Arabidopsis thaliana: one gene and its partners. The protein of the gene in region 3 interacts with the protein of the main gene of each other region in a pairwise test. Each region holds a gene or a part of one and is shown on either strand. Other genes may lie near its edges.

What was found.
Region 1: the proteins of RTE1 (region 3) and ETR1 interact in binary tests that used the Arabidopsis thaliana proteins (3 or more experiments, as listed by UniProt).
Region 2: the proteins of RTE1 (region 3) and CB5-D interact in a two-hybrid assay, tested with the Arabidopsis thaliana proteins (one study listed by BioGRID).
Region 4: the proteins of RTE1 (region 3) and CB5-E interact in a two-hybrid assay, tested with the Arabidopsis thaliana proteins (one study listed by BioGRID).

What each region holds. Positions count from the first base shown.
Region 1 is NC_003070.9:24,731,633-24,738,999, reverse strand, and holds ETR1 (Signal transduction histidine kinase, hybrid-type, ethylene sensor), read right to left. Parts: upstream 4,839-7,367; 5' UTR 4,717-4,838; intron 4,348-4,716; 5' UTR 4,303-4,347; coding exon 3,397-4,302; intron 3,322-3,396; coding exon 2,953-3,321; intron 2,876-2,952; coding exon 2,621-2,875; intron 2,539-2,620; coding exon 2,411-2,538; intron 2,321-2,410; coding exon 2,123-2,320; intron 1,995-2,122; coding exon 1,634-1,994; 3' UTR 1,282-1,633; downstream 1-1,281. Other genes in the region: AT1G66345 (Pentatricopeptide repeat (PPR) superfamily protein), read right to left, coding at 1-1,281; AT1G66330 (senescence-associated family protein), read left to right, coding at 6,856-7,094, 7,187-7,333. UniProt on the Arabidopsis thaliana protein: Ethylene receptor related to bacterial two-component regulators. Acts as a redundant negative regulator of ethylene signaling.
Region 2 is NC_003076.8:19,787,488-19,792,820, forward strand, and holds CB5-D (cytochrome B5), read right to left. Parts: upstream 2,886-5,333; 5' UTR 2,694-2,885; coding exon 2,607-2,693; exon of another isoform or gene 2,172-2,606; coding exon 2,105-2,171; intron 2,031-2,104; coding exon 1,762-2,030; 3' UTR 1,580-1,761; downstream 1-1,579. Other genes in the region: AT5G48800 (Phototropic-responsive NPH3 family protein), read left to right, coding at 1-900, 971-1,516; ICK6 (inhibitor/interactor with cyclin-dependent kinase), read right to left, coding at 5,121-5,190, 5,269-5,333. UniProt on the Arabidopsis thaliana protein: Membrane bound hemoprotein which function as an electron carrier for several membrane bound oxygenases, including fatty acid desaturases.
Region 3 is NC_003071.7:11,103,885-11,109,540, forward strand, and holds RTE1 (protein REVERSION-TO-ETHYLENE SENSITIVITY-like protein (DUF778)), read right to left. Parts: upstream 3,305-5,656; 5' UTR 3,082-3,304; intron 2,734-3,081; 5' UTR 2,724-2,733; coding exon 1,857-2,723; 3' UTR 1,721-1,856; downstream 1-1,720. Other genes in the region: emb1345 (Transducin/WD40 repeat-like superfamily protein), read left to right, coding at 74-145, 304-366, 588-657, 837-920, 1,169-1,243; GLDP2 (glycine decarboxylase P-protein 2), read right to left, coding at 5,446-5,537, 5,627-5,656. UniProt on the Arabidopsis thaliana protein: Acts at an early step in the ethylene signaling pathway. Positively regulates ETR1, leading to the negative regulation of ethylene responses.
Region 4 is NC_003076.8:21,757,214-21,762,222, reverse strand, and holds CB5-E (cytochrome B5), read right to left. Parts: upstream 2,895-5,009; 5' UTR 2,759-2,894; intron 2,607-2,758; 5' UTR 2,596-2,606; coding exon 2,509-2,595; intron 2,276-2,508; coding exon 2,209-2,275; intron 2,121-2,208; coding exon 1,870-2,120; 3' UTR 1,645-1,869; downstream 1-1,644. Other genes in the region: AT5G53570 (Ypt/Rab-GAP domain of gyp1p superfamily protein), read left to right, coding at 1-38, 126-1,299; YSL3 (YELLOW STRIPE like 3), read right to left, coding at 3,447-4,384, 4,463-4,580, 4,669-4,858, 4,943-5,009. UniProt on the Arabidopsis thaliana protein: Membrane bound hemoprotein which function as an electron carrier for several membrane bound oxygenases, including fatty acid desaturases.

The DNA of each region.
Region 1 (7,367 bases), on a different chromosome or scaffold from region 3:
GCGATTCACGTTCTCAATCTTACTTACACTCTTAACCATCTCATTGAAAGCCGAACAACTAGGCATAAGCCCTCTCGTTACCATTACCTCACAATACTCCAAACCTTTCTCTTCCCACCCGAACCTCGCGAAACCACCGATAAGACAATTAAACGTCTCGTCATACGGACTGACTCCAGACTCCTCCATCTCACTCAACAACCTCTCCGCTTCTTTAACATCACCCTTTTCACAACAAACTCTAACAAACACCGTATAAACAAACGAATTCGCACTAAAACCTCGTTGAAGCATTTCATCAAACACCTTCCGTGCAGACACCAAATCACCTTCCTTAGCTTTCGCATAAACAACAATCGAATAACCAATAGTATCAACAACCATATTCTTCATCAACAATCTCTTCAACAAACTCATACTCTCCTCTATTCTCATCTCTTCCAAAACCCTAAACACTAAACTCGTATTCACAATCACTGAAGGTAAACATCTCTTACCACAAATCCTATCTAACAAATCAACAACTTCTTTCAATCTCCCTTCTTTACACAACACTTGAATCATTATCCGAATCGTAATCTCGTTCGGATAAATCCTTTTATCAATCGCACATTCGTAAATCCTCCACACAAGATCATCAATCTTCGATTTCGAAGAGTAATGAATCAACGTGTTTAAAGTAATCACACTAAGAGTAAATCCACAATCACACAATCTCTTGAACACATCAAACCCTAATTCCAAATACCTAATCTTAGCGTAACATTGAACTAACAAATCAAACACTAAAGGAGTAGAAGATGAGATCTCATAAGTATCTAACAACGAATCGACTAAATCCGAATCGGGAGGAGAATTTAACAGAGACGATTCAATTAAAGCTCGAGCGTCGATTAGTAATCGAGCTTTGACAAGGATATGAATCGTCAATGCGTAAGATTTGATTCCGTGACGGAGATTTCGAGTGTGGGATGACCAATGGAAGAAGGATAAAGCTTGTTTGGCGGTTTCGGGGTTTTTGAATCGGAGAAGGATTGTTTCGATTAAGGAATCTGATAGATCTATGGAGGAGAATTTGGTGGAGAGAGTTTCCCAGGTATCGTTGGATTGGAGGGATTTGGAGATGTAGTCGATGAGGATTTGTTGTTGTTTGTTTGGATTTGGATTAGTTTTGGAGGAGAAGGAGAAGAAGCCATGGATGAGTTTTGGAGATCGGGTTGATTGAGAAACTAAGTAACGCCATTGTTGTTGTTCTACTAAGCGGCGCAAAGCTGACGCCATAATACTGCATCAATGTCATACATGCACGCAACAAGCATCCATAACTCGATCCAAATTCTTATAAGAATGTAACTACATATATAAGGATACAACATTAGTCAAACATGTAATCTGAAATGGTATGATTATACCACCACCATCTTGTTCCTCTATAACCGAAATCGCCACGGACACATACCGGTTTAGAGTTTCTATTTTGTTATTCCCTTTCTGTTTTAAGATATCATCCAAAACGCTCCGACAATCTCTGATATGTACACAATTAAACCAGAGAACATCAGCTTCCGATGTTTTACGGGAGAAGAAGGCGGGAGCGGAATTACTCCTCTGGGGCATGGGGCATCCATCGCCTTTACATGCCCTCGTACAGTACCCGGGGCTCGAGAAGATCAGACAGAACATCTCTTATGTTGTCTAGTGATACGGGTTTGAGCAACACACCGTCTAGACCAAAGCTCATGCATTTCTCTTTTGTGGATTTGTCAGTGTTACCACTGAGTGCCACAAGTAGTGGCCGTTGGTGGCGTTGTTTTGTGAATTTCTCGTGAATACGGAGAGCGATTTGGTAGTTTTCGACCCCGGGCATGCACACGTCCATGAAGACCACTTTGTGCTCATGGGACACAACTCGGAGACACTCCTCGTTTGAACTCACCGTGGTCACTTCGCACCCAAGGTGTACAAGAAGTCCCTTCGTCACCATTCTACTTACCCTGCAACCAAAATAATCATCGGTTTCTCATAAGATTAAATTTGCGTTTTTTCTAAACGCCAATATCTGCATTTGCAAGAAGTAAGGCGAGAGATTTTGCAAAGAGAAAGGTGAGAAGCTTATACTAACCCGTTCTCATCCATGACAAGAACCTTAAGTCCAGTGAAATTTGAATGTCGGGGAATGGCTGGAACTTTCGGTATGCCCGACTGTTTAGATTCGTTTGAACGTTCTGAGATCCCAAGTTTAACATCAAAGATAGCCGTGCATCCTTTTCCAAGACCATCGCTCTCAATCCAAATGTTACCCTCCATCAGATTCACAAACCTTGTCATATTAAACGCTTATGAGTAAACTTTTAACAACACAGAAGACAAGAAAAAGTTGGAAAAAAACGTCTTTTAATAAGGCTCAAACCTCTTGGAGATGGCGAGGCCAAGCCCACTACCACCCGAGCTTCTCGTCGCTAAAGATTGTGTTTGAGCAAATTTAGTGAAAATCTTTGGAATGTCTTGAGGATTTATTCCTGCTCCAGAGTCTTTTACCTATATTTGAATAATCATCAAAATTAAGACCTAAGAAATACTTTCAGCTATGGTATAAGATCCCAAGATACAAGATAATAACCTTCACTCTCAAGTAGAAATGACTCCCAGTTGGCACGACAAAAAAGTCAGCAGCTCGTGTGTCTGACTTGGTGACAAGAGCGGTTACGGAGATACTACCTTGTTTGGAGAATTTCACAGCATTACCAACTATATTTAATATTATCTGCATTAGCCGTTTCTCATCCCCAACAACAAATTCTGGCAAATCTGGTGCAAGATTTAGTGTGATGGGTAATTTCTTAACAACCGCTATAGGCTTTATCAGATTGAGGACCTGCAACAAGATTCAATATGACAATCAAGTACACAAATAGTATAAACTTATGAAACATAGAGCTGTTCAAAAGTTACCTCTCTAAATAATGTATGAAGATTGAATGTCCCAAGTTCAAGTTGAAGACTTCCATCTTCTAACCTTGAAAGATCTAAGACATCATTCATCAAAGTTGCCAAAAGGTTACTACTTTTAAGTATTGTTTCCACCATCAGTCTTTGTTCAGGGGTTAGTTCCGTTTCTTGGAGTAAGGAAGAGAGTGCAATAATCGCATGCATCGGTGTTCGCATTTCATGGTTCATAACCGCTAGGAAATCATTGCGGGCACGGATTGCTGTTTCTGCTTCTCGTCTAGCTAGATCAAGAGCAACATTCTGCTCCATGAGAAGGTCCCTAGCTCGCATCGACTCTTCTAGGATCGCAGCATGTGAGAGAGCTACAGCCACCTATAATAAGAGAAGAAAAGTTATAGACAAGATCATGAACATAGCAAAGAAGAGAAATTCTCAGCAATGTAAAACCTGATCAGCGACGACTTCAACGAGTTCCAACTCATGGACATGCCATTGCCTTGCACTATCTGAAGGAAGCATCAAAACCATCAAAGCATATCTCTTTGTTGAAAGCTCAGGCCAGTCATTAATCTGAAAATTAGAAAGGTGGAGAAGCGGAACCCTCACAGCGACCACCTCCCCTAGCATATATTTCCCAGAAACAGGTCTCAACCTAGCCACAGGAGAATTAGGAGATATTTTTACAGCCCTACTAGTACCAAACACTTGGTTAATCACCGGTAATTGAATAGGAACCGTATACTCCACGGGATGTTGATGACGAAGTGTATAAGAAAGCTGTAGCTCTAACCCAGTTCTAGTAGGCATCCACAATGCACACTCCTCCAAAGCTAATGTCCTACCAAGCTCAACAAGTGTAGTCTTTAAAATAGTATGTCTATCTAAAGTGCTTCTAATCTCATGAGTCAACATTCTCACATGCCTTCCGGTTTCTTCCTGAGTTCGAATCAATCCCATTTCTCTATCGAGCTCAGCAGCTTTATTTTTCAAGAAAAGCTCCCGAGTCTTAACACTCAAAAGATCAGGAATAATATGAACAAGCATCAACGCAGTAGCACACGAGACAACAGCGGTTAACACCTTCGCGGTAGTCATCACAAGCGCCACGGTTCTCGAATGCGTAGTGAAAGTCCATAAGTTAATAAGATGAGTTGCTCCACAAAGAACGATAAAAGCACCAAACTGAACAAGTACCCATCTATACGGAAACACGGCTGATTTCTTCACAAAGTAAATCAACTCAAGAGGAATCGAAAAATACGCAATCGCAATGAAGAAATCGGAGATGTATTGGTATTTCATTAACAATTCATCCGCTGGCCATTGCGGTTCAATACAATTGCAGACTTCCATTATGAATTTTTTACACTATAGTTCCTCTCTCACACATACACACACCTGTGTAACAAACACATAGCATTATCAACTTCGATTTACGACGAGAACGTAGCGTAGACAGATCATGAGCATCAAAATTGCTATAAATTCTGAAGAATCGAATTCGATCACAACGATTACGAAAAAATAGGTTGCATATTTCAGTCTCGAGAACAGTAAAATTCGAATCCGAATCATGAAATTAACGATTAAATCTTAATTTAAAGTTCCTAATAACGATGCATTACACTAGATAAAGACCAATTAGGTTAATCAATCTCTATGATTTGAGATCGACGACAACAACAGAAGAAAACTGTGGAAGTGAAGAATATATATAAAGAAGTCACGAAACAATCTGAGGAGAGAATCGAGGAAGAAGAAGCTTACTTGGGAAGAATTGATCGGAGAAGAGGAGGAATTGGGGATTTGGGACGCGGCGGAGAGCGACGGAGAAGGAGAAAAGGGGAGCGTTGAAGCTTTTTTTCAAGTCAAAATTGGTTGGGTTTAACACTTCTTCTTCGTTCTTACTTTTTTTTTCGACGTCATTTCTCTAATTTTTTTGTTATTATTATCAGATGTTTTTTTTTAATAAAAAAGGGTAATATAGCTGGTGGGTGCATGAATTTGTTCATTCAAATATCTTATGATAGTGTAATGACGTAATGTAGATAAAGGAATAGAGTAAAAATGGTAAGAAAAATACAGATAATATAGGATAAATATCCCCATATTTATCAACAAATACTATCTTTATGGTTTCACCAAAAAATGCAAAATATTGTTTTCACTAACTTTCACCTTACATTGATTCGTATGATTTCAAAAAAGGAGAATGATAATGTCATTTGGAGATTAAGCAATATATATGTTTAGCCAATATAAAATTATGAGTTTTAAGTGTAATCTTATGTAAATAATCGTTTGTATAAAACATTATATAGTTGTAAGAGAAGTAAAACAAGTTGAATCAAACAAATATGTTCATGTGAATAAAAGCTATATTATGTCAACTTGGAGATATATCAAACTACTAATGTTATATCTGGTTAACTGTAATATATCTCCAAATTGACATAATATAGGTTTTCAGTACCTCAAAACTAAATCAGAGTTAACCAGAAATTTGATCCTAAACCAAAAGTATATTAAGCAATTATATAAAATTATTACATTAGTTTTTTTTGAAATCAATCCTCCGAAAAATGTACATAAGACCTTAACCAGTCAAATCAAAATCCAAACAAAACTAAATTTCATCGATTCAATTCTCAACCAACGTTTATGTCTCATATATACTAGTGTTGATTACTTCAAACTTACAATATGGAATCTTAATATATACCTTCAAGATGATGGCTCTAATCAGCCTATCTCGAACTGAATCTCATTTTAAGATCAGTATTAAATCTCAACACACGAAATTTTGATACATACAGTAAAACCTCTATAAATTAATACTCGATAAATTAATAATCTCTATAAATTAATAAATTTTTTCGGTCCCGAGTTGGAACCACTGTAAAAAGTGATACAAATCGATAAATTAATAAGATAATAGTTTTTTTGAAAATCTTATATAAACATAGGGTCCCATTAATATCATAAATTACAGAGAAATATAATTTTAATATTGTTTTTTTTTTACTTAAATTTGTATAAGTTTTTTTTTATTTCATTTTAATATTTTTACTCTATCAAAAACTTTTCTTGTTGTTTTCTAGACATGATAATTATTTCTATTTGTAATTGGTTCTAAAAATATATTTTAGATAATGGAATGAATCTTAAATTTTTATAGAAATTAAAAAAAAAATTACCACTTTTGGAAAATCTCTCTGTAAATTAATAAATATTAATTTATCGATAAATTAATACCTTTATAAATTAATAGAATTTTGTGGTCTCAACATTATTAATTTATAGAGATTTTACTGTATTAAATTTTATGGATTTCCAAATTAAATCTAATTAATAATAAATAGATTGGTGTATATTCTTTATATATAAGTGTTGGTCCTTCAATTTAAAATAAGAATAAAAATCGCAATACCAAAATATATGGATTGAACCAAATTGATATTAAGGGAAAGAGTGGGGCCAATACTATAATGACCAGAGAATCGAAATAGAAAGAAAACTTAGGACATGGTTGGCTCACACTGGTCCACAAGTAACTCTTGTGGTTACAATTTTCACTTCTAATCCCATAATTCTCCTTCTTTGTCCTCTTCTTTCTCCCTAAAATCCTAAATCCTTCTTTGGATTACTCTTCTTCTTCATTTCTTCCCACAAGGTTAGTCTCTCTTCTCTATCGAATCTGTGTTCTTCACTGTTTCATCTCTCCAATTCCCAATTTTTCCTTGATGGGCTTTGTCTTAAAAATCAATACTTTGAGTTTGATTCAAGTGGGTAATCTCTACATTTAAGCAAAATTGTATCTTTATGTCGTTCTAAAATCGAGAATTTTATAAATTTGATGCCTTGATAAGTTTATCTGAATCAATTTTGATATTTAGGTTTATCTCAATGGCTCTTAACGTGAGCAAGGTTGTTCCCAATAGTCCAATTTTAGTTAAGAGTGTTAATGCTTCAAGATCTCGAAGAGTTCTGTTGGCGTATGTTCATCATCCTTTAGCTGCTAATAAGGGTTCATCTATTGAAGAGTTAAAGCAAGGTCTTTGTTGTACAAAGACTGTCACTTTTGTTAGTTCTCGGAGATGTTCTACATTGTGCTTTGTTGGAAAGTCTCAAGACACTGAAACTAAGTAAGCCCTTTTAGTTGTTAGCCTTTACAGATCAAACTGGTCTGGTTTTGTTTCATGCTTAGTTATAAGTTTCTTGTGTGATGTGTTGTTAGTTCCCAAGTTGTACAAAAAGAAGGTGAGAAGCAAGTGATGCCGAGGAGGAAAAGTAGTAACTCAAGCCAACTTTTGGTGGAATATGTGTCTAATGATGCTAAGTTTGTGAATGAAAGAGCTCGTAATGACTTTGTTCTTCTATCTCGGTAATTTTCCGCGTATCCAACGGTTACAGAATCT
Region 2 (5,333 bases), on a different chromosome or scaffold from region 3:
AACTTGGCTTCAAGAACAGAGGAGTATCTTGAGAGCATCGTATGCAAGAATCTTGAGATGTGTGTTCAAGTCTTGAAACAATCCGAGATTCTTCTCCCTCTTGCAGATGAACTGAATATCATAGGTAGATGTATCGATGCCATTGCCTCGAAGGCTTGCGCTGAGCAGATCGCTTCAAGCTTTTCGAGGTTGGAGTATAGTAGCTCAGGGAGGCTTCATATGAGCAGACAAGTGAAAAGCAGTGGTGATGGAGGAGATTGGTGGATCGAAGATCTTTCGGTTCTGAGGATTGATTTGTATCAGAGAGTTATGAATGCAATGAAGTGTCGTGGTGTACGTCCAGAAAGTATAGGAGCTTCTTTGGTTAGTTACGCTGAGAGAGAGCTAACAAAGAGATCTGAACATGAACAAACCATTGTTGAGACAATTGTTACGCTTTTGCCAGTCGAAAACCTCGTGGTTCCGATCAGTTTCCTATTCGGGTTACTGAGAAGAGCAGTGATTCTTGATACTTCAGTTTCCTGCAGGCTTGATCTTGAGAGGAGGTTAGGTTCTCAGCTCGATATGGCGACTCTTGACGATCTCTTGATCCCGTCTTTTCGTCATGCAGGAGACACTTTGTTCGACATTGACACGGTTCACAGAATCTTAGTGAATTTCTCACAGCAAGGAGGAGATGATAGTGAGGATGAAGAGTCTGTGTTTGAATGCGATAGTCCACATTCGCCTTCACAAACCGCCATGTTTAAAGTTGCAAAGCTTGTAGACAGTTATCTTGCTGAGATAGCTCCCGATGCTAACCTTGACCTTTCTAAGTTCTTGCTTATCGCAGAAGCCTTACCGCCTCATGCTCGCACCCTTCACGATGGTTTATACCGCGCCATTGATCTCTATCTTAAGGTATGTTGCTACAAGAAAATTTTACTTACTCTTGTTGTGACTTGATACTTATTAGGTTTTATGCTCTTAGGCACATCAAGGGTTATCAGATTCAGACAAGAAGAAACTATCAAAACTTATTGACTTCCAGAAACTCTCACAAGAAGCTGGAGCACACGCTGCACAAAACGAGCGGCTTCCTCTGCAATCCATAGTTCAAGTTCTCTACTTTGAGCAACTCAAGCTTCGAAGCTCCTTGTGCTCTTCTTACTCAGACGAAGAGCCAAAGCCAAAGCAGCAACAACAGCAGTCATGGAGAATCAATAGCGGAGCTCTCAGTGCAACAATGTCCCCCAAAGACAACTATGCGTCTCTGAGGAGAGAAAACCGAGAACTGAAGCTCGAGTTAGCTAGGTTGAGAATGAGACTCAACGACCTAGAGAAAGAACATATATGTATGAAGAGAGATATGCAGAGGTCTCATTCGCGCAAATTCATGAGCAGTTTCTCAAAGAAAATGGGGAAACTTAGCTTCTTTGGGCATAGCTCTTCAAGAGGATCAAGCTCTCCATCAAAGCAGTCTTTCAGAACAGATTCAAAGGTACTGATGGAGAGAACTTGCGCAAGCACAGATTAGCTCAGTGTTTATCATTTTCTCTTACCTGTTGCTGCTTTTTAAGTGAGACTTGAGACTGGTGTGTGAGTGATATTGTAAATGGATTTGATTGATATAAGACAACAAAGGTAGATGGCTTAAAAATCAAAGGTCTATCAGTTGATTGGAATAGAGAATATAATGATGTCTTACAAGACAAACAGAGGTAGAGACAGAGTTTAACCACGTCGTACACAAGCAATTCACTTAGGCCACAATTCAATCTTTCAAGAAGAAGGAGCCTTGGTCTTAGTGTAGTACCGAATGCCGAAAGCCAAGCCTAAGATTAGAAGTGGAACAAGGAACTGAAGGAGCTTAATAACAAAATCCGAGCTCTTATCCTGAGTAGCCACGGCTTTCGTCGACGTAGGAGGCACAAACTTAGCTTTAACCGGCACAGTAGCTGTGTCAATATCACCCACATAGTACTCATCTAGCATGGCTTTCGCAGTCGAACTATGTCCCACATCCTCGAAATCATCGGTCGCATCTTTCCCTGAATACCAACAACACATTCTTGTTAACATAAACATGAACTAACAAACAGAGAAAGTGATCTCTATATGTTACCTGTAGAAGTCAAGATAACCTCATCACCACCAGGATGATCATCCAAGAACTTTGTCACATCATAAACCTATATATAACCATCAAAATGAAACACACAAAAAATGTAAACTTTGTCATATAAGTCCCTAATTCCACACAATCAGAGACCTAGATTAAGTGGGTTATCAAAAGTTCATACATCAGAACATACATGAACTACATGAACCTTACTAGCTTTAACTACAGATACAAGATCACACAGAGACATCTTAAGCAGCACCAACTATCACATTCAATTATAAAGACGTAAGTTTTTAGCAATTTCTCTGTGATTTAGACTTAGAAAAGTAACATTAATCTAGCAAATCAGATCAGATCTATCCCCAAACTTGTTACTACATAACTCTAGATTTATAAATCCAAGTCAACACAACTCAAGAATTTCGGATCTCACGAAGATAAGATGCAAAATCTAAGGGAAAACGGAAAATCGAATGAGAAACTGGGATCGGAGATGTAGGACCTTGCCGTCGATGACGATCCAACAATCCTTGGCGCTACTGTGCTGAGAAACCTCGGACAAGGTGAAAACTTTTCCGTCTCCGCCCATCTCCGATGATCTGCTGGTGACTGGTGAGAGTTGAGAAGAGGAAGAGTATTACTATTATTTGGGAATCTGTGAGTTTGGGATCTTACACCAACCGCTTTTTTGGTCTACTTAAGTTGTGTATGTCTGATCTCATCTATTGATGGGGTCGGAAATTAATCAGTGGCCAATAATCAGCAGTTAATCAAAGATTCCGTTTTCTTATATTATTTAAATGAATTTATTTTATATATTTAATTAATGTAGAAACTAAAACAATTTATAATGTTACAAAGAAAAAATGTTATAAAAAATCTTAGTATTGTATGTTTTTCCTTAAAATAAAATAAATGTTTTTAGTAATTCATGTTAGCTGATAATGTTTCTACTAAAATCATGTTAGCTTATTGATTTCCATGATGCTTATAATGTTTATACTAAAATCATGTTAGCTTTATGTACATCAATTTAGATAAAATCCAAACGTTTGGTGGTTTCGCCCTCTTAGACGTATGATCAATCGTGTAGACGGCTAGATGTTAGGGTAGACCATTCTAATTGGGCCCAACCATTCACTCGGTCCACAAGATCCGGATCTTTTCTTCAGTTGTCGATAGTATTTAGTTTTTTCATGAACTATAGCAATATGGACACGATGATTCATGGGAGGAAAGATATGGGGTTGTCTTCTTTAAAACTTGATGGCGCTTAAGATAAAAACAGTCAAAGAGACTTGTCGGAAGGCCAGTGTAACGAAAGCAGTGTGGTTTTAGTTATAGGCTAAATTGAATATGAATAATTGATCATAGGCCCAGTTTGTTGGTTTATGATTTTAGAAAGAATTGATAAGAGAAGGAGAATGTTTTGAGGTTGGAACTCTCCGACAGATAAATATGATGGGAAGAATTATTCACGGTCGTATATTTTGACAAGGGACCAACGGAAAGGAGAGCAGTTGCATGCATCACTCGTCTTTACACTATTTAGAAAGAAAATGAATCTTGTTTAGTGATTCATTTTAAAAAGTTTTTCTATGTGAACCTCATTCGCTAGAAGTAGTTTAAATGTATTTGCCTTAATCCGATCTTAGAACTGGATATTTGATATTTCTGTAATCAGTTCGAATGTATCTAACTATAGGGCTAAAACACCGACTGTATAGTTCTTTCGACATATATAGAGTGTGTACTTTGCTTAATGGAACCATAGGCATGTTAAACGAGAGCATTTAATGTTGAAATTCACTTCTTTTTTCAATGCATGTTTTGACTCACATTGCAAGGCCTATGGTTGGTGTTCAACGAGAGAAAGAAACTATACATGACAAGTTAAAGACATTTATTTTGAAGGACTAACCCAAAAGGAGAACGAAAGAGAGCTAGAGAAGAAGAAACAAAAAGACAAAAAGGCTTTCGTAATCAGTGCTCTTCCTTTTTGGCTTTTTACTACCAAATAGTTTAAAAGAGTCAAACAAAACATCGAACAAGCTGAATTCAGATACCCCATTGGTCACACAGTTGATGTAAGCGAATCTATATGTCCCAAAAAACATGATTTTTATAGTCAGTGAGCCCGTGATCAAACAAGCACCCGTGTACATACGTACACCATGTCCATATGTATAAATGTATAATATAATGAATGTATCTGAACGTTTCATGCATTCACTTTTTCACTTTTAGAGATTAAAGAAAAACATAGAACAATGATTGGGTTCGAGATAAGATTTCACAGTTTCATCACACTGGTTTTGCCAATTTCCAAGAAATGTAAAAAAAAAGATAAAACAACAGAGATCTTCTCAATGAACACTGTCTCATCTTTTTGTCAGTTTCTTGTTAATAATAATTTGATATTCAAGATTCAAAACACTCTTATCTCTTTACTAATTAGTACAAAATTCACCTTTGTGTTTGTACTTTTAACTCTGAACTTACATTACAGTATTTCAATGTAAACGTCAAAGTATTTACACACACATTCACGTGCGTCATAATTATGGTAAGAGAAGAAAAGGGACCAATCTTGTATAGTTGAAAGAAAAAGGATATGATTCAGATTTTTACACCTACCAAAATTCACACGTGAACCTCTCAATTGGGTCTCTTTCTTCTGCATCTGAATCATTTTTTTCACTATATGCCAAGCTTAAACATGTTCACACACATCCCTCTCAATCATCATCATTACATATAGCTTTGAATAAACATGAGAGATAGATAGAAAAACAAACACTTGAAAGAAACAGATGAGAAAATTTCACTAAGCATCTGAAGAAGATTAGTAGTACAAATGGTGTGAGGTTTTAAGGTCCCTAAGCTACTCTCAAACTTGTTCTCTAACCACATTATTACTTAAGATTACACGATTTCTGATGTTTGGTTAGTCTGTTAACTCCATCACATTCTCTAACTTCACACCATGTCTTTTGGAGCTGTTTCCTTTTGAACTTCATGGTTTGACTTGCACCCATTCGTAACGTCCGCTGAGGGGGATATCATTCACAATGTCGAAGTTGTACCTGAAGATTATTGAAAACACATGAGTGTTGTTCACCCTCTTCGTAATGACACAAAAATAAAATAAAGAATAAGCTTACTTCTCCATGAATAGCCTCTGTTGCTGCTGCTCTGCATATGCAAAGAACTCCTCCATTTCACTAGT
Region 3 (5,656 bases):
CTAGAAGCAATGTAATCTGTCTCTTGGGATATTGTTCTTACAGTAGCAAGCTTGCCTGAATGTGTATTTGCAGTGATGATCTAACCTTGAAGATATGGGGGACAGATATTGCCAAGATGCAGTCTGGTGAAGAATATGCACCTTGGTGAGAAAATAGTGGGTTATTACATGTAATCGAATTTATTTGTTTCTTACGTTTAGAGCTGGACGTAGTATGTAGCCTACAAGATTATTTGACTTCTTCAAGAATTTTTCTCCGTCCAATTTTGACTAATGTAATCCTTACTTGCTCGGACTTTGCAGGATTCATCTTTGTACTCTCTCTGGCTATCATGACCGTACCATATACTCAGCTCACTGGTCAAGGTATTGACACCTCACATGTTTTCTTTAAAGCATCGTGTAACTCTGCCTAATTTCTAAATCTGCCAGCCTAAAAGGAAAAACTCTTTGTTGTACCTGATATTTACGCTCCCAGTCATCTGTCGAATGCATCCAAATTGGGATTTTTAATGCTCTTTCGTGAGACTGTGCTGAGTTTAAACTCAGTTTTGTTTTGTTTTCTTTTTATTTTAAATTTTTGACAGGGACGACATTATTGCCAGTGGAGCAGGCGATAATGCTATACGGTTGTTTGTGGACAGCAAACATGACTCTGTAAGTTGAATTTGGTTAATATCTTTCCATATATACACGCCTAACTTACATATCTCAATACAAGAAACCAAATGCAGGCAGCAGATTCTATCTCTCCTAGTCTTGCCAATGGTTTACCACTATACAATTAAACTTTTCTGCTTCATCTTTGAACTTAAAGTCATTCTTTTGTGTACCAGGTTGATGGACCTTCATATAATCTTTTGCTGAAGAAGAATAAAGCACATGAAAATGATGTAAACTCTGTCCAATGGTCACCCGGTGTAAGTTCCATGTTTCTTATGAAGTAATAGACACAAGTGCATACTATTTCGTACTTGATACATGGTTGCAATGATTAAGTATAGTCTATATGGCATCTTATAAATGTGAATTAGAAGTTAGAACATAATACTCAAGCTTAGTTTTAGGATCAGAGAAATGATGCCATTGATTACTCGACTTACATTGGCCCAAGTACATGTGGTTATGTTGTCTATGATTTTGACCTTGGAATTGTAACCTGCTACAGGAGGGGAACCGGTTGCTTGCGTCGGCTAGTGATGATGGGATGGTCAAGATTTGGCAGCTTGCAACTAAACCGTGACTGCTGTTGGTTTGGATAGGTTCTGAAACTCCTGTGTTGTTTTACTTTTTCTGAGGTCTATCTGTAAACAACATAACATTTTAGGTAGAAGAGAACTCTATACTATTTTGTCATACAAGATTAGCTCCATGATGTTTCATACGATTTCTGTTTTACTTTTACTACGATCACTTAAGTTTTAACACTGTTGGTACAACTTTGTGGAATTTAATAAACAACTTTTTGACGAAACAAAAAATACATAGCTGATATCGTACAACTTTGGAGAAACTTCTTTTTTCCATATAAATAGCAAATTTAGATGCAACTCATATGGTTGCTGCTTGTGCTTGTAAGATCTTACAATATTTTTTCTTTTTGTTAATACCTAACAATACATTTATTTGGATATTGTATGTTTTTTTCTTAAGGGCCTCCGAATATGTATATTTTTTTCCTTTACTATGACACATCACCTCTAAATAATCTACGGATTAGGAAAAAGAGAACAATTTTTTAAGATTAACATAATTTTGGAGTTGAAAGCTAGATGGTGCCGAAAGGAAAAGAGAACAATTCTTAAGATTAACATAATTTTGGTGATACATCATATTTATATTTCTCTCATACTGCTTCAAGTAATTATGTTCTTAAAACAGTAAGTAGCAATTATGAACCAGGCAAAGAGTAGTAGCGAGAACGAAGAGAGACCGATGAGGAATGGCCAGCCGACAAGCACCACCCCCAAAGACGTGACCACAGCACATGGCAGAAACGAGCGGACTACTGATGAACCATTGATCCATTTCCCTTTGATCATAAGTAAAATAGCAACATTCACCATATTCCACTCCATTGAGCCACCATAGCAAAGACGGTTCAAACAGTTTGCAACAAACGAATGGCAGTTACAAGTGAAGATGTTGTAGGTTTTATGCTCAAAGCTACGTGTGCTCGAGCTCAGTGCATTATCCCATGTACGCGCTGTTCCAAAGTCGGTGTGTTTGAATCCATACTTGCAAGTATGTCCACCCATATTTGGTGGTAAGCAACACTGCCACAAACACACACATTTGATAAAGATTAAAAAGTTCTTATAATTTGATACAAAACTAACAAAGTCCATGCATAACCAGATTCTACTTAATAAAGAAGCAGATACTAATACCTTGGTTCTATCGAGTTGGAGATAGCGAGCAGGAGGACCAAATGCAAAATCATCAACATTGATGAAGTTAGATCCAGCAAAGTCCAAAATGACTCCATCTTCTCTGCAAAGTCCAATATGACCAATGAAAGGAGCCAACCAAGAGACAACAGGAAGAGGAGTCCAAACTATACAGCAAGGAAATTTCGACTTCTTGGTATCAATCTCAGGTAGTGGCCACAGATCAGCCTCATCAGCTTCGATTATTGATGGTATAGACACGGACACCACCCTGTCTTCAACATCATAACTTCGTTTCAGGTCCATCATAGGAACTCCTCTTCCACGTGACATTTTTAGATTCCTAATCACACAAGACAAGAGCAGTCTGATCATTATAGTCCAAACAAAGAGCGACCCATTTACTAAAAGAATCGAAAGTTAAAATCTTTTGATCAAAATGAAGCAAAAGTTTCAATCTTTTTAACAAAGCATGTCCGTATATTCATTCTCACAGCACTAATTGTGTAGTAATCTCCTAACTTGAGCCTAATTCAGATTTTCAGCATTGTGGGTTTCTCTGTAAATTTCACCGGAAACTAAACAAAACCCATCAAAAGCATTTCCGTAGAAAACAGTAAAAATCACAACAAAAAATCATAATGGAAAGCTAAGAAGCAGGGAATAACAGTGGACTGTGTTTTACATTTACCTGTCGGAAACTCCGACGCCGATGTCTGAAGGATCGACGCAGAGAGGAAAAATCGATGAAAGTGATGCGAGAGCTTGGAGAAGGAGAAGAAACTGATGCTTTGTGGAATTTGATGAAGAAAGAGGAGATTTTTATAATTGGTTTTCTAAAGTAACGCTTCTTCTAGTTTTAGGAATTCATTGAAGACAATGGAGAAAGGTACAATGAACCTTTGGTTGTTTATCAATTACTGCACTGTCTTAATTTTATTATTATATACTAAGTTAATTATTTTAAGGAAAAAGGGACGTTTGCTTTATCAAAACTTTGAACAAAAAAAAAAGATCTACGAATTGCAGTTTTACTAGAAAATTTTGAAATATTTGAATATCCTTCTCAATTGCAGTTTTACTATCAGAATCCAGAGCTACGAAATTATAAAATTTGTATTTTCAGTAATAAAAGCTCAAATACTGAAGAGAATCCAATGTTTTTTTTTTGTAACAAAGAAACCGATGTTTATATATTTAGTTTCCGTAAAATTTGGAGTCAATCTATAAAACTCAAATCTCTTGAACGATTATTTCTAATTTGTCGTGTTTGATTACCGTTGTCGTTATTCATTATGGTTGGATAAATGAACACATGGAAACCTCAATCTCTATTATAGGTATAGAGTGACATCGTATTTATGACAATTCGACAATTGTTTATGTTTTTCTGTCGGACGTAACGGTTTTAAGAATCGAGAAAACTTTCTTGATTTAGGGTCCTTGCATCTATCATTCGTGTTTGCCTTTTTGAGACGAATCATGTGCATGCGAGTCAGATGATCTGACAACTGACAAACAGAGAATCCGATGTTTAAATATTTAGTTTCCGCAAAATTTGGAGATGACTTATGAAACTCATAACTCTTGACCGATCAATCTTAATGTGTCTTATTGATTACCGTTGTCGTTATTAATTATGGTTGGATAAATGAACACATGGAAACCCTAATCTCTATTATAGGTATAGAGTGACATCGTATTAATTAATAACAATTCGATAATTGTTTATATATGTCTGTCAGACCTAACGGTTTTGAGAATCTAGAAAACTTTTTTTATTTAGGGTTCTTGCGTCTATCACTAGTGTTTGTCTTTTTGAATCAAGCCACATATGCTTTACAAGGTTGATTTGTTCTTAAGAGAAATGTCAGGTGCTCTAAAATAGTGATAAAGCGTAGGATAGATGAGTTGTTTGCTAGAGAGGTAACCGAACAGGGCTCGATGAGAATATGCTCCTTTAATCACCTTTCGGAAGAAAAAAAAAAACAAGCATTAGTATATAGGATAGGAAAAAATCATTATGAGGTTGGTCCTCTCAAAGATTCAGTGAGAGTCTAGTTAGAATGAATTAATGTGGCTATACAGAAAATCTATTTTCTGTGAGGAAATACAGGTTTTGGTTCAAGGACTTAGGGCATCTCTAATGATGACCTCTATATTTTCCTCTATTTATAGAGGTGACCATTGGAGATGGTTTTAGTATAGGTGATCTAATGTCCAATCTGATATTTAGTAGAATAATGCTACAAGTCTGATTAGTGGCAATTGAAAAAATTAGCAGAAACATAAGAGCATCTCCCATGTCCTACCTTTATTTTTTTTCACTATTTTAGAGTTGATTTTGTTCCAATGTGTGTCTCTAAAATAGAAAAGATTAGCATTGGTTAGAACTGCTTTTTGTTTTTTTTTGGCCAAAATGTAGAAAAGTGAAATTAAATTTTAACTCTACCAAGTTCCTAGTTTTCTTTGGAAAGGAAGTTCAAGTTGGTATTAAGCTTTTTTTTATAAAAAAAAATCTAACTCTACCCAAAGGAGAGAGAAAAAATAACTACTTCAAAATTTAGATTCCTTTCCTTTAATATTTGGTTGTTTCTTTCACTAAATTTTTTTGTCTCCTTCACTTCCACTTTTTACTCTACATGCAACCATTCAGAACCTATATGTTGTCAGTCAGTTTGTTTATAAAACCTAGAATTATGGTTATTTTGCCAAATTTCCTAATTATAAAATGAAACAATAAATATCCTAAGAATTCAAACTTTTTTCAAAGAGATCATATGGCATAAATATAACCACGATGGTGATCACATCATCCAAATGGAATGTTATACGTATAAGAAAGTGGAACATAAAGAAATGTATTTTATTAAATAAATGAGGGAAGAACTTAGGACTACGTATGTACATTGTACAGGAAGTGAAAGTGAAAGTGATGATGAGGCTGGGAAGAGAAGTAAAAGCCAGTAAAGATACGTTTCTGGATCCGGTATGAGTCCGAATCGCCCCATTGTGGGTTTTGGTGCGAGTGCGAATCGCTTCATAGTGGCTTCATTTAAGCAGACACTGCAGCTGCAGCCTGTTCTTCGTTCGCCGGTTGGAGAGTGCACACCAGATTACGGTCTCCATACACGTTGTCCACTCGCCCTGTTTCACACATATTTAATACATTTTGAAACGATTTACAAATAACAAATTGTTTTCTATGGGAAATGCCACCCCTAGTTTTCAAGTACCTGTAGTGGGCCAGAACTTGGAGGAGCGGA
Region 4 (5,009 bases), on a different chromosome or scaffold from region 3:
ACTAGTGAAGAAAGAGAAGCAGTGAAAACTCAAAAAAGGTTAGTATTTAGTTTGATCTATATATAGTCAATGTTTGTATTTAGATGCTGATAGATAATTTCATTGTTGGGATCTTTGAATTGTAGGAAGGAGTATGAGAAACTACAGAGACGATGTCAGATGCTTCTCAAGTGCGGTAATGGAAGTACCGATAATCTTGAGGAGCTTCCATCTGATGAGGCAAACAGTCAATGTGTTCGGTTCGTGGATGATTATAAGATTACAGGACCAATGACAAGTCAAGATGTTGTTTCTGCTTTGAACACTGATTCTTCTGATACAGACTCTTGTGAAGATAATGAAGATGTTTTACTACTCTCATCTTTTGCACACAGCGATGAAAAAAAGCCGGAGGAGGATAATAGTAATAACAATTCTGAAGAGAATAGTTCTCTTCTTGTAGCTGCTGCTTCTGAGGTCCAAGTAGAAGTTGCGGTACACGAAGATTTCTCTACGTGGCAACGTATCATCCGGCTTGATGCTTTACGAGCGGATTCTGAATGGGCAAATTATTCTCCATATTCAACAGCAATCACAGAAAGCAAAGCTCGCAGGTTAGCCGAATCTGTCGGGTTAAAAGACTATGATCACTTAGAAAGCTGCAGGCTATACCACGCAGCACGGTTAGTTGCAATTCTTGAAGCTTATGCTATGTATGATCCTGAGATAGGCTACTGTCAAGGAATGAGTGATCTGTTATCTCCAATCCTCGCTGTGATCTCAGAGGATCACGAGGCTTTCTGGTGCTTTGTTGGTTTCATGAAGAAAGCTCGGCACAATTTCAGGCTTGACGAAGCAGGGATTCAAAGACAGCTAAGCATTGTATCAAAGATCATAAAAAATAAAGACTCTCAGCTTTATAAACACTTGGAGAATCTTCAAGCAGAAGATTGTAGTTTCGTTTACAGGATGGTGCTTGTTATGTTTAGGAGGGAGTTGAGTTTTGAACAGACGCTGTGTCTCTGGGAAGTGATGTGGGCTGATCAAGCTGCCATTAGAGCTGGAGTTGGGAAGTCGCCATGGAGCAGAATCCGGCAACAAGCACCGCCAACGGATGATTTGTTGCTCTATGCAATCGCGGCGTTAGTACTACGTAGGAAACTGATCATACAGAAATACAGTAGTATGGATGAGATTGTGGAAGAGTGTAATAGCATGGCTGGTCAGCTTAATGTCTGGAAGCTTCTTGATGATGCCCATCATCTTGTCGTGACGCTTCACGACAAGATTGAAACTCTTTCTCAATCACAGAGTATTTGATGAAGAAGTCGATCAAAGCCAGAAATGAAGTGTTTCCACTACACAAAAGCCCTTGCACTCGTCTGGCTGCGTTTTCTCAAGGTTTAAAGTTTGTTGCGGTTTGGTTCTTACCGTTTTCACTCCTCTCTTTCTTTCTTCTTTCTTTTTGTTTACTCATCACACAGAGAAAACACAATACTACTATCCTTATCGCTTTTATTGTAGTACTAATGAAAAAGACAAGGCAATATTCTTGTTAAAATGTAACGGATGAGTCTGAAACTGTCATTTCCACAATTGTATGAAACATATTTGTTCAATTGTAGAAATCCAGTTTCTCACTTCTTTATCAAGCAGCTTAAGTTTGGGCAAATCAAGCAGTCTTTTATTATATCATCAAAGTCGAAAACACTGTCATCATAAACTCAACACAGTAAAACTAGTAGCAACACAATGATTTTTGGTTCGTAATTTCAACAAGAATCAGTCTAAGACCAAACAACAGTAACAGTACTTTTTTTCGCAAGAGAGATAGACAGAGATCGGTAGAGATATTCAATGACAAGCATCAAAGCAAGCCTTTGGCTTCTTCTAGTCTTTCTTGGTATAGTGACGGACGACAAGAGCCAATCCCAAGATCAAGATCGGAACAAGGAACTGAAGAATCTTGATAATGAATTCTGGTGTCTTGTCTTGGTTGTAGGCTGGTTGCTGTGGTGCAACGTATGTCCTAGTTGCTGGAACACTAGACGAATCAATCTCACCAATGAAATATTTGTCCATCATGTCCCTTGCAGTGTCGCTGTGACCAACGTCTTCAAAATCATTTGTAGCATCTTTCCCTGCAAACAAAACACCACATCAGAACAGAAACAGTCACCGAGCCGCTTCAAATCCGCCTTGAATCAGAGAGAAACACAAGTTTTATACCTGTTGAGGACAACAAGACTTCATCGCCTCCAGGATGATCATCCATGAATGGAGTCACATCATACACCTAAAGAACGCAACAATCACAGATCATAACCAAGTAGTAGACACAAACTCTGTTTCTCTAGTGTGAATTAACATAGAATCAACTAAATCTACGAGGGGCTCGATTAAAGCTTCTAACAGTAACAATCCAACTCTACAACTTTAAAATCGAAGCTTTGACACAAATCAATGGCGGAAGAGAACTAAGTTCGTCAAAAAACAGAGATGTTCTCAAACAAAGAGACAAGATCTAACCTTGCCGGAAATAATAAGCCAACAATCCTTAGTTTTGTTGTGCTTTGAAACTTCTTCAAAACTTAGAACCTTCCGATCTGAAGACATCTTCACTCAAACTGCAAAACAAGAACACATCAAAGCTACTAATCAAAATTTCTGATAATACAGAGTACTAGATACAGATTCAAATCGAAATCATCAGAACGATGATGAATGAACGAATATACTAATTCCCTTATCGATTTTTGGAAAAAGATGGGATCTTTACCCTTTCAGATTCAGAATTTTCGATAGCTCCGAAGCTCAGAAATCAGCAGAAGACGGAAGAAATAGAGGTTCCTCACCTACTTAATTGTGTTCAATATAAACAAAATACGAAACTACCCTCGATATTTTGCTTAGGGTTTGGATGAGCAGGGGTAGTTTTGGTCAAGTTGGGCTTTGACTTTAAACAAATCAAATTGGGCTTTGTGCAAATCAAATTAAAATTTGGTTTCCATTTTTGACGAGATTTTATTTTGGTCCACGTTTGGTACTTTGAAAAATACAAATATGACGTGTGCTGAATTGACAAAAAAAAAAACAGACACATAAAGTGTGATCTAACAACGTTTAGCAGATTTCAAAGAAAGAAATAAATCTTAAAATAGAAGAATCTTGCCTTTTGTCAGTAAAAACATATACCAATTTAACCGTATTTTTATCACTATTTTGGCAAATATCTTCTGGAATTTAATTCCATTTGACCTTATTCTAAAATATTGAGTTTCTTTTTGGGGAGAAGTTACTTGGGACATGGATTTTTAAATAGAATTGAGAGACTAGTTTATTACTTTATTGTGTATACAAACTTACAAAGTACAATTCCTATATAAACTGTTTTTTTTGTTTCCACAATTCTTTAGCTAATTTTTTTGTCGCTACACAAAAAAGTAAAAACTCGTAAAAAGCTATCTTTAACTCGAATATTTACTCGGCATGAAGCCCATACATATAGGAGGTCTAACGCCGGCCAAAGCAAGAACCGACGACGGCAAAATCCATAGACCATCTCCACATATCAAACCGGAAGCAACCGCCGGTACCATTAAACCGGCTTTAACTCGATCTCTCATATTCCAAGCAAACACAATCAAACTTCCCACACACATATCAATAGCAAAGTACCCTCCAACAAGAAACGGAACCGCCATTGCCATCGGTAATGGAACCCAATTCCCTATCTTATCCGGTAACCTATCCCTAACGAGATTTGCCGCCACCGCGAATGCGAAAAACCCGTAACAAAGCTGTAAACAATGTTGAGGCAAAGCAGAGAAACCTTCAACTCCAAGAATTGCCATGTTTCTGTATACCAAAGCGTAAGGAGCTTTGTACTCTCCCTCCTGGTTCCCGACATCGAAAGCTTTATAAAACAAGAAGAAAGTTAGAGGCGCCACAACGCATCCGATCGCTGTACCGATCGCTTGACTCACAAGCATCGACCTAGGTGAAGTCAGAGTCAAATGTCCTGTCTTGAAATCGTGCATTAGGTCAGAAGAAATCGATACAATCGATTTTATCAACCCGCATCCGACAAGTCCCGCGACTACACCATTTTGTTTCCCTGCCATAGCGGCTAAGATAAACAGAGCGACTTTACCATAGTTATAAGCCATGTTCATATCTGTTAGCCCTGCTCCATAAGCGTTACTGAAACCTAACGATGGAGCTAACATGTAAGCTACGACTATGAAGTACCATTTCAGCTCGGGGAACATTATAGGGATCGCGATGATCGAGACAACAGAGAACGCTGCGTATCCTACTGCTGCAACCCATAATGGAATGCTGTCTCTTACAAAGATCTCATCTCTTTTAAGATCTGCAATAGATTGCTTATCTTTCTCCGAATCTGCGATTTACGTTTGAACATCAGATAATACATTATTGAAATGACGATTTTTCTATAGTTTTTTTGGTGTATACTTACTAGATTTCCCAGAGTTGCGATTGTTTAACTTGACGTACATGTTTATTCCTGTCTTAAAAAGTATCTTGATGAATTGGTAAAGCCCGTCTCCGAGGATCAATGAGATTGATATAAACACCTAAAGAGTTATGAACAAATTAAGAACGAAAGTACGCGAAAGAAAGGGCGGAGTTTATTGTAGAGTACTAGTGTTTTTTGTATGGAACCTTGTAACCATTGAGACTCTTCATGCTGTTTTCAGGAAGAGTTGATGGGAACCAATCTCCTTTAAGACCTTTAATGAGTGGCCACATGATTCCCCAAGACAGAACCGCGCCAAAAAGCAAAGATATATTGACAATATGGGGACAGATCATTCCTGCTCCAACGTATGTCATGCTAAAGTCGAAGTAGAATCTGTCAAGTTTTTTCAAGATCATCAAGATTCTGTTTCTATCTGTTGATATATAAACAGTCAATAGAACTAAGAATAATACTCACGTGTTCTTCAAAGCTTCTAACCCGAAAGTTGGAAACTGAATGAAACCGCACTCTGTACCACCAGAGA